Drosophila melanogaster: one gene and its partners. The protein of the gene in region 1 interacts with the protein of each later gene in a pairwise test. Each region holds a gene or a part of one and is shown on either strand. Other genes may lie near its edges.

Evidence for each region.
Region 2: the proteins of CG7272 (region 1) and CG14332 interact in a two-hybrid assay, tested with the Drosophila melanogaster proteins (one large-scale study listed by BioGRID).
Region 3: the proteins of CG7272 (region 1) and Catsup interact in a two-hybrid assay, tested with the Drosophila melanogaster proteins (one large-scale study listed by BioGRID).

The regions. Positions count from the first base shown.
Region 1 is NT_037436.4:15,499,120-15,502,879, reverse strand, and holds the start of CG7272 (uncharacterized protein), read right to left. Parts: upstream 1,943-3,760; 5' UTR 1,790-1,942; coding exon 1,620-1,789; intron 44-1,619; coding exon 1-43. Other genes in the region: CG7275 (uncharacterized protein), read right to left, coding at 2,372-2,927, 2,984-3,698, 3,751-3,760.
Region 2 is NT_033777.3:17,421,147-17,423,866, reverse strand, and holds CG14332 (uncharacterized protein), read left to right. Parts: upstream 1-1,664; 5' UTR 1,665-1,690; coding exon 1,691-2,065; 3' UTR 2,066-2,177; downstream 2,178-2,720.
Region 3 is NT_033779.5:19,040,186-19,043,945, forward strand, and holds Catsup (catecholamines up), read left to right. Parts: upstream 1-1,676; 5' UTR 1,677-1,760; coding exon 1,761-2,139; intron 2,140-2,194; coding exon 2,195-3,165; 3' UTR 3,166-3,429; downstream 3,430-3,760. Other genes in the region: mib2 (mind bomb 2), read left to right, coding at 1-937; Ttc19 (tetratricopeptide repeat domain 19), read right to left, coding at 3,435-3,698, 3,751-3,760.

The DNA of each region.
Region 1 (3,760 bases):
AGCATCATTCATAATGTTGGCCAGCTTCAAGCTGAGAACGGTCCTAGAAAGTTCAACAATTTGTTAATTAGTTACTTTAATTTAGGACAAAATTTGGTTTTTATATTTAAACAAAAATGTAATACTGTTACCATTCATATTCATTTTAAAATATTCTTCAATATAAGGCTGGAAATTTTATAAATTCCAGTTAACTTGTAGATAAGAGCATAGTTTTCTGAGGATATTATAATTAATTCAAATTAATTGACCCTGCCCGAACCAGTTTTCCAGCAGTAAGTCGCTACAGAAAGTTCGAATCAAGAGAAATGGAACTAGTTTTCATTTAAAGTGCTCCAGTCTACCACTTCATTGAAAAAAAAAACCAGTTTACACTTATTAATTGCGTTATCAGATTCTATACTAGGTGGAGATAGATAAATAAGCATAATAGGGCCGGCGTGCAAATCATGGTACACGTAGCATTTGATAAGGAGCTCAACGCTCAACAAATAATCAGCATTATCATCGATCAACCTATAAACAAACCCACAACAATGGTGAAATACACCCGGGCTGGGCGAAATGAAATGCAAACTGGCCGAGGAACCTGCCCTTGACCGAGACCTCGAGCGCCCATTGGGTGGAGTGGAATTCGTTTAGCATACAACTGTTGCTTCGCTTGCATGTCTGCGGGTCCTTACACTTGACACAGTCCAAGTTAACACCTTCCGGAAAACCACCCCCAAGTAAGCCCCGGCGCAGTGATGGCACACTCACTTGATGGTACTCATTCACTTGCTGCCATATGGCACTTTATGATCTTTTGAGATGTTCAAAACAAACAGTGGAAAGTTTACGATTTAAAAATAAAAAGGTAAATTCCTCGAGAGTTCATCTACATTTAGTGCTTTAGCCAGCAGGAATTTGGAATTGTTTAAAGAAATGTATTATTACGGAAACTATAGTTAAAAAAATATTATGTTTTGCTAAGCAAACACTATTATTCATATGCAGTAATGGACAAGCCTTACGGCTATAATTAGAGAAGATTATATTTATAGATGACAAGATATTCCCATCACCACCACTGGGTGGCCCACCCCCTTTGGAATCTGGGCAGCCCCGCTTTATGCCGAGCACGTGGAGAGGGCGAGTCGCGTATCTTTCGCCCGTCGTATAAACGATTAGCGGCTCTCCCAGATTTGGACAGACTCTACCGGATCAGCATTCGTAATAGAGGAGCTCTAAAATTATACACTCTAGATAAGAGCTACGTGTTTGGAGGGTTCTCGCATCGATAAGGCGGCAAAAGTGCTGCTGGCGGATTTTCGACAAGGTTAACGATTTCGAAATGTAACGGTCGCGGATGATCGAAGTGTAATTCCCATTTGGCCAACGCAGTGATGTAATCGATTCCATTGTTATCTTCTTGAATTGTGTGCAAAACCGATTCACTGGCGGCCTTGAAGAGACTCGATTCTGTGCTGTCATGGCGACAGTTCTAAAATTTAATCAATTCCCACACAGATGCGTTGGCTTTTGTTCTTTTCACTCGCTTTTCCTGCCCCCTGCCCACTAGTTTTTTTTTCGATGTCGCATGCAGTGGAGCATCACGGAATCCCAATTAGGTTACTTACAGCACCACTCCGAAGAGAAATGGGCCCACCGGGTAGACGTCGCTGCTACCCTTCTTGCGGATGTCGTTCATCAGAACCACTCCGGACAGAAATTGCAGGGTAGTTATGGTGCCGGCTACCTTGGCGATTAGTTCGCTGTGTGGCGCCAAGAGATCCCCCAGTGCCTCCATGATTTCAATGACTCTCAGTTGATGCCTTTCAAACGGGTTATGTGGGAACGGGAGGGGGGCCGAGTGCCGCGCGAGTATAAACAAATGAACGAAAACAAAAACTAACGACCGACTGGCGGCTGCCGTAACAACAAACGAACAAATACTGAGCACCAACGGTGGGGCTGGCAACCTTTTATAATCGAGAATCCCCTAGAAATGGACGCGTCTCTCCGATTTTCCCCAAACGTTATCGCCCGCGAGGGCTTATCGGATACGAATTGAATTTCAAATTTCCGCGAAACGTTGCTGCATGGCAAAGCAAATGAGTTTTCTCTCTAGAGCAACAGGAGAGTATTCCTTAGAACTTATCAACATCTTCTTTCTTCTAGTATCACTGAATTAAAGCCAAACAATAGTTTAAACTAAGCAAATTCACTGATAACTTCGGTTTGACTTGACCAAACTGAAAGTCACTTGAGAACAATGATAGAAAGTGAGAAACTCAATTGAGATTAGGCTTCTTAATATATACATACATAGTCTCCTTACAAAAATCAATTTTATTCAAACTTATCCAACTACAGTCGTTAGCAATCATCCTCACACCTCCTCCTTCAGCACATGCTTCTTTTTCTCGCTGACGTAGGGCACCTTCTTGCTCTTCTTGGTGTGCTTGCGCACATTGGCCTCCTTGACCTGCTCCTTCTCCTTGACCGTGCGCATCTTCTTCTGTGCATTGAGCACGTGACGCGGCACCTGGCGATGGCGCGCGATGCGCTTGATCTGCGGATGAGCGGCATACTTTTGCTTCAGCGCCTCCTGGTAATTGAAATTGACGCGCTCACGTGGACGGATGACGCCCAGCTTTTCGGAGGCATTCGCCTTCCACATGCGGACGTTCATTTCGTCGGAGCCGGAGAAAACGTATCGATTATCGAGGGACCAGGCCACGCAGACCACATGCTGCATGCGTTTTGTGTGGTAAATATCCCGCGAGTGACTGTGGTGGGCATTGTAGATCCGAATGGTCTTGTCGTAGCTGGCCGAGACGAATTCCTTGCCAGTGGGCGAGTAGTCAACATCGGTGACAGCGGAAACATGGTCAAAGTGAACCTTCAGCGGCGTTTGCAGCTTGCGAGTGTCAAAGGTATAAAGGCTGTAAGAAATAAAGATTTTAGCAACACATCCTCTTCGTATGGCCGTTTTACTCACTTGCAATCCTCGTTGGCCACTGTGAAGTTGAACGCCTCCATGGGATTCCACGCGAGCTTGTTGCTCTTCATGGTTAGGACGACCTTCCTTAGTGGCTGCGCCTCTCTCTGATCGTACAGGATAATGCTGCGATCGCTGGCACAGCACGCCAGGATGCTTGTTTCCACGGGGTTATAGGATATGGTGTGAAGGGTATCGACGCCCCACTTCAATGTCTTCAAAGGATCGTTGTGCCTTTCGTCCCAAATGGCGCATACCTCGCCACAGGTGGCGAACTTGTTATCCCTGCGATTGTGCGAGATGCCGTGCAGTCCAAATTTACTCAGTATAGTGTTCACCGGCACCTCATCCTCGCCGACTTCCGGAGCCTCTGCTTTCCAAACCTTGATGGTTTTATCATCTCCCACGGTGAAAATGCGACCTCCGTTCTGGGTGTAAGCAATGCCGCGAACGAAACCGTCGTGGGCCACAAAGTTCCGAGAGCTGATACGATTCGCCAAGTCCCAAATGCGCACTTCGCCGTCATAGGCGCCGGTGGCCAAGGTGGAAAGTTGCTTGGGATGCTTTCCGAAGCAGGAGACTCCATCGCGATGCCCGCTCAAATTGCAGACGAAGGGTTTGGCAAATACTCGATCCAACTTGGTGGCATTCAGGGCACGCACGTATTCCCTGGGACCCTCCAAAGGATGCAGCGAAGGATCGTAGTTCCTGGGCACTGAAAGTGGCATTCTTATAATACTTTGGTCTTTCTTCGTATATGAACTTACTTTTGTGCTG
Region 2 (2,720 bases), on another chromosome or scaffold:
GACGATTGCCATGTTCATCATAATAGAGTCGTGTAGCCGACAAAAAGCTCATTACTTTAGCTGACTGGTGGCTGCATGGTAAACGCGCCTACAATTTGGCCATTTGATTAGCCTCACCTCGTCATGGTCGCCGGGGCCCCAAATGGCCGATCCAATACGGCACATAAAATCCAATTTAATTAAGTTGGACTCTCGGATTGAGACGCAGTCGGAGGATCGAGACTCAGATGGAGGCCCACAAAATCACAAAGTAGCAGCTGCCGTGGCAGACAACCTTGCCAACATTCTTAACGTGTTCAAGATTTTTACCAACGCACTGCATTTAGGTTTGTTGTTGTCGCGTTCACTTTTCAAATGCTTACGAAATGTCAATATTCGGCACAAAGTTATTTGTTATTTGATCGGATCGATTGAGCAATTGTTGATATACAATTTTTCTGTGTTTGTTCTTTTTGTCTAACGGTTTCTCATTGATTTGTTAGCTAATTGTATACGAAAAATGTAATTAAAATTAAAACGAGTAACTGGAAACCACAACGCTCGCATGTTAGCTTGACAAACGAAAAATAGGTAAATAAAAAATGTTAACACCTAGATCGCACAGCTGGCGACAACGGTGCGAATGAGTCATATTGCACCAGAGTAGAGTTTCAATTAGTTGCAAATTACGTGCCTAAAGCTAAGAACCAAACCTAAAAAATGTTATGCCGAGTAATTATAAAATATTTGGTATTAAAAGCATACTTGAACACATATGAGTGATACACCCAAAAATGGTTCACACACTTGTGTTTACTTTCTAAATTTCAGAAATCGCAAAATGATTTTACGTAATTTACGTAATTCAATGTTGCCACCATGACATTTCATTTTTACCATTTTTTCATTATTATTGCCCACCTATCAAACCTCAATTGGGTTTGCAATTTTTTAAACAATCGTAAGCCTAATTTGCTTTCATTGTTATGGATAATAAACGGACCCTGAGCTATATATGGCAAGGTTAACCATTATTTTGGGTCTCCATCACTTGAGCCTATATTTTCAAAACTATTTTCGCAAATGCCTTACTTCCTGGCAACCGCGATCATCGCGGGTGTTTCTTTTTTGGCTTACCAATTGGCCGGCTTAATCAAGCCTTCTATATGCCAATTAAATCCATGGCTGCTAGTAATGTTAGTTAGACCATAATTTTATGAAAAAGAGCCTTCTATGTCTTGCTAGTCATGTTTTATGCATAAATTGATTTAAGAGTTGAAAATGCGTCTGCGCATGTAGTATATATCTCTGGTTTTTTCTATGAAATTTTGTGTTCAGCTACATATAACAACGCTTGCTAAGGTATGTGCTTCTAACTTGAATTCATATTTACTCATTCATATTTTTTATATGAATAATAGCAGGTGGTTGTTGAACTCTTTCATTCTGATTTATCATCTGCTAAACACTGAAATTACAAAACTGGATCATTGGAGTATATTACAGATAAAATCTGACCTCAGTTTCTCCATTACAACATTATCAAAATTGTCATATAATTTAATTTTTAACATAATATGTACCTTTAACTGCATTCATGTTTTTTTTAAGTACTCAGGTATCTGCTATAAAAGGAGTAATTCCTTTTAAGCCAAGTATCAGTTGCTTCCTACTCTACATTCAAGCACACAATTAAAAGACCTATTTCAAAATGGCACTCTATTATATTTTGGTGATCAGTGTCCTGCTTGTCCTCGCCCAAGGATCGTATTTGTCGTCGGTGAATCAGGAATCCGGGGTGGGAGTGCATCAGTCTGGAGCTATTTCATCTAGAGCTCCAGCTGCCGGAATAACCCGTGGCTACTCCGCTGCCCCTCAGACCCAACGACCCATCTCTGGATATGGATCCCTCTCTGGTCCTGTTGGAGGATCCCGTCGAGTGCCCGTAGTTGGAGTGACCGGATCTCGTCCTCGTGGTGGAGCTCCGCGTAGTCCGTCTGCTGGAGCTCATGGACGTCCAAATGTAGGTGGATCTGCCCATGGAAATTCCTACCAGAATCGCCAACGCAGCCAAAAGCCTTATTAAGAAACAGAACTTATCATCAGCAAATGACCAAACCTAGATCTACATCCTTATTGTCACATTCTTATTCTACTCTCAAACCTTTTTCTATCGCAAATAATAACAAATGTTACATAAAAACGAAACTTGATTAAGATTATTTTACAATGGCAGGGATAAGATTGAGCATTGGGGAATATTCATTTCATAGGCATTACCTAGTACTTAATCCTTAGCAACAATGTCACCTTTAATGAACTGGTTAATACGCCAATTTCAGCTTTAGCGACAAGTTACGCACTCAATTGGCTGCACTTCATGATTTAAACATTTCTTGAATAGTTGCCCAAAGCGAGTAGCCATTTAAGCTGGGAATATGAATTCGATTTTCAAACCATTTAAAGTTACCAATTTGTTGATATTCGGCTATGTTAAGACGCTGATTCTTGAATCATTAAAATAAGCCAGAGTGCTAAAATAAACAATAAACTAAAGCGCATAAGCACATAAAGCACATATATATACATATGTAGGTTTTAGTACATCTTATTTCGTGCATAACTCTTTAATCATACATGTTTTTTTTTAAATAAATTTTTTATTTTATACATCCTACGATTCTAACTGCTTTACATTTTTTTTTTTTGTAATAAATCTGTATGTTTTTACTGACATTCAA
Region 3 (3,760 bases), on another chromosome or scaffold:
TCGTCCTGAGGATCGTTTGATGTACAGTATATTGATCTATCTTTCGAGGGCCGGCTGCCGAGTGGAGCTGAACAACGCCAATGCAAGCATTTTTGAGTGGATAACGGACCGCCACATCAGGCAACTGATTTTTGGGCAGCAGGGCGAAGCTGAATCGCTGCCTAGGAATCTTCAAGCTTTGGAAGTGTCCGCAGGATCAGCCGACGGTGAGGAGAGCTCTGCGTCTGCTGGAGCTGAATCCAATGGAGCCGGACCTGGAAGCGTTGCAGCACCCCCACCACCGCAGCGCCAGACATTTGAACTAATGCCAAAGCCAAACGATATCCCAGCCATTGGAGTTGGAGCATCTCCATCCACGCCCTCCGCCTCGCCGGGCGTAAAGAAACTGAACTCCGACGCAACACCGCAAAACGTCTCTCCACAGGTGGCACCGCGCAAGAAGGCGCCCAAGCCTCCGGTTACCACTAGCTCGAGCAGTACCGCGTTGGAAGCCGGAGCGGCGGGACCCAGTACCAGTCCGGTGATCGTCCCCGGTCCCCATGAGTGCATTGTGTGCAATGAGATCCTGCCGATGGTGCGCTTTGAGCCGTGTCAGCATCAGATCGCCTGCGAGGAGTGCGGCATCCGAATGAAAAAGTGTCTCCGCTGTGCCGTGGCGATCGAGCGGCGATTGACGGTCAGCGGCCGAGTGGTGGCCCTGCCCACGTCCACGTCGTCACCTAGTGACCCCACTCGCCTACCGTCCGGGGATCTACTTCGCTATCTGGAGAACAAAGTGCTGGAGTTTGAGGAGTCGCACTTCTGCGGTATTTGCATGGAGCGAAAAAGGGATGTGGCCTTCCTGTGCGGGCACGGCGCGTGCTCCCATTGTGCCGAAACGCTCCGCACATGCCACATGTGTCGCAAGACAATACTCAAGAAGATCAACCTGTACTGAACGGCGGTAACGGAAACGAAAGAAAAGCAAAGGCGGCAGGATCAGCAGCAATTCAAACAGCAACCAAAGTGGCTTGTATATATACATACACAAAACAAACACACACTCACATTGCCGTGTCATGTGCAAATCGAAATTATTATTTATTGATCACAAACGAAATTTACGAGTTCTTTTTTAATCGGTTCATCATCGGCATCGTCGCAACACGCAACAAATTAATGTGCACCTTCTCGTGTCTAGTTATTAGCCCCGTTTAACCATGTCTGGTAACGATAAATACATAGGAAACTAACTAAAGCATACAAATATTTAATAGTCATTTAAATGCAAATATACAAATATAAAATTATTTAATTGAGTGAATTTCAATCGATGTCGGTGGTTAGCCTACAGAAAATAAAGATACTTTATTTCTGAATATGCTGGGGTGACTTTTAATTGTATTGGTATTTAAAAGGTTTAGTTTAAAATTGAATATATAATAAGTTTAGAAAGATTTTAAAACTGAAATGTTGTAACGGCAAAGTGTGAACAAGTTATTTTCTTTCAGTACGCTGCATAAATTTTAAATGTTTTGCATTTTTGTAAGCATTGACTTGGCAAGCTGTCGGATCTTAAGCTCCGTTTAAAAGTTAATGTAAGCAAAAGCGGCAAAGTACAACTTATAATTGAAAATATACACAAGTTTATTTTTTATTTGAGCGAAACAATCGATACCTCCAGATTTACACGCTAATCGATAACAACGTAGCCAGAAAAAAAGCAAACACGTCACAACACTTTGGCCGCAGTCCGACGCGAAACTAAAGTAAAGGACAAAATGGCCAAACAAGTGGCTGATTACCAGTGCAGTAAGCTCCAGTTGTACCAAAAGCTGGCACTGGTCGTAATCCTGGGAGCAGTGCTTTTCTCGCTCCCGGCGTTGTGCGCCGGCCAGGGCAATCCCAGTTTCAAATACTCGCGGGAAGCCAACGAAAACTTCGATCCGCAGAAGGCTCCACGGGCGGAGCACCATCATCATCATGATCATGACCACGATCATGGACACCACCACCACGGGCACGATCATGATCATGACCACGACCACGGGCATGATCATGGACACCATCATCACGGGCACGATCATGATCATGACCACGACCACGGACACCATCATCACGGGCACGATGAAAGGCACACCAAGGCAAAGCCGGATTTGGGTAATCAACGAACTACCACTCTTAAAATGCCCGAGTTGACCCAAATTTCTTATAGATATGAGCACCATTTGGTTGCACTCGATCGGCTCAACTCTTCTTATCAGTGCCGCTCCCTTCGTGCTGCTGTATATCATTCCCCTAGACAACAGTGAGGCGATGAAGCCGCGTCTCAAAGTGCTTCTGGCCTTTGCTTCTGGCGGTTTGTTGGGTGATGCCTTTCTGCACTTGATTCCTCATGCCACGCATCCACACAGTCATGGAGAACACGGCCACGATCACGGCCATGATCACCATCATCATCATGATGGCGAGGAGCATGAACATGGTCACAGCCACGATATGAGCATTGGTCTGTGGGTCCTTGGAGGAATCATTGCCTTCCTTTCAGTGGAGAAACTGGTACGCATTCTAAAGGGCGGTCATGGAGGACACGGCCACAGCCATGGAGCACCAAAGCCAAAACCAGTGCCTGCTAAGAAAAAGTCCTCTGACAAAGAAGACAGCGGAGATGGAGACAAACCGGCAAAGCCAGCCAAGATCAAGTCCAAGAAACCAGAAGCGGAGCCAGAAGGCGAAGTGGAGATTTCCGGCTACTTGAATTTGGCGGCGGACTTTGCTCACAACTTCACCGATGGCCTGGCCATCGGCGCCTCCTATTTGGCGGGCAACAGCATTGGCATTGTGACCACTATCACTATTCTGCTGCACGAAGTGCCCCATGAGATTGGTGACTTTGCCATTCTTATAAAGTCTGGCTGTTCCAGGCGAAAGGCAATGCTTCTGCAGCTCGTCACAGCGCTCGGAGCTTTGGCGGGCACAGCGCTAGCTCTTCTGGGAGCTGGAGGCGGGGACGGATCGGCCCCATGGGTCTTGCCCTTCACAGCCGGCGGTTTTATTTACATCGCAACAGTGAGTGTCCTGCCGGAGCTGCTTGAGGAGTCTACGAAACTGAAACAGTCGCTGAAGGAAATCTTTGCGCTGCTAACCGGCGTAGCCCTAATGATCGTTATCGCCAAGTTCGAGTAATATCAAAATTGTGGAAAGTTAACACAAAAAAGATCTAATTGCATGTACTGAAAGTGTGCCGCAAACAATTTGAAAGATTTCTGTTCGTTACCTACTCAAAACGATGAGCAACTACTTAAATTTCTTATATTTCAACAGTCAGTAACCGCTATTAGTTCCCAATATAAACAATGCGGCGTTATTTAAGATTTTTTAAGCCTTCCAAATTTGTGCTTCACTTCGAAATGAAATTTTTATAAATAGTCAAAATTACACTGTAAAAAGAATCCTCACTGGCGCTTCTCTCCATTCAGGGTTGTCTTTATCTCGTTGAGACAATACTCGGCCTGCTCTACGGCATCGGGATTCTGGTGTTGCTTTCCCAGTTTCCACGCCAGTCGGCAAGCGTTCTCCGCCTGCGACATCAGGCCCTCGCGAAGATACACCAAACCCAGATTTGCCTGCAGAATGCCTTCCTGGGTGGCATCCTTTAGCTCCTTAGTCAGCTCCATGGCCTCCAAAAGGGTCTCCCTTGCCTCGGCGTACTTTTCCAGCTGTAATTAGTCTAATGTGTTTCAAGTACTTTGGAAGAATAGACGCACCTACGTTTACGTAC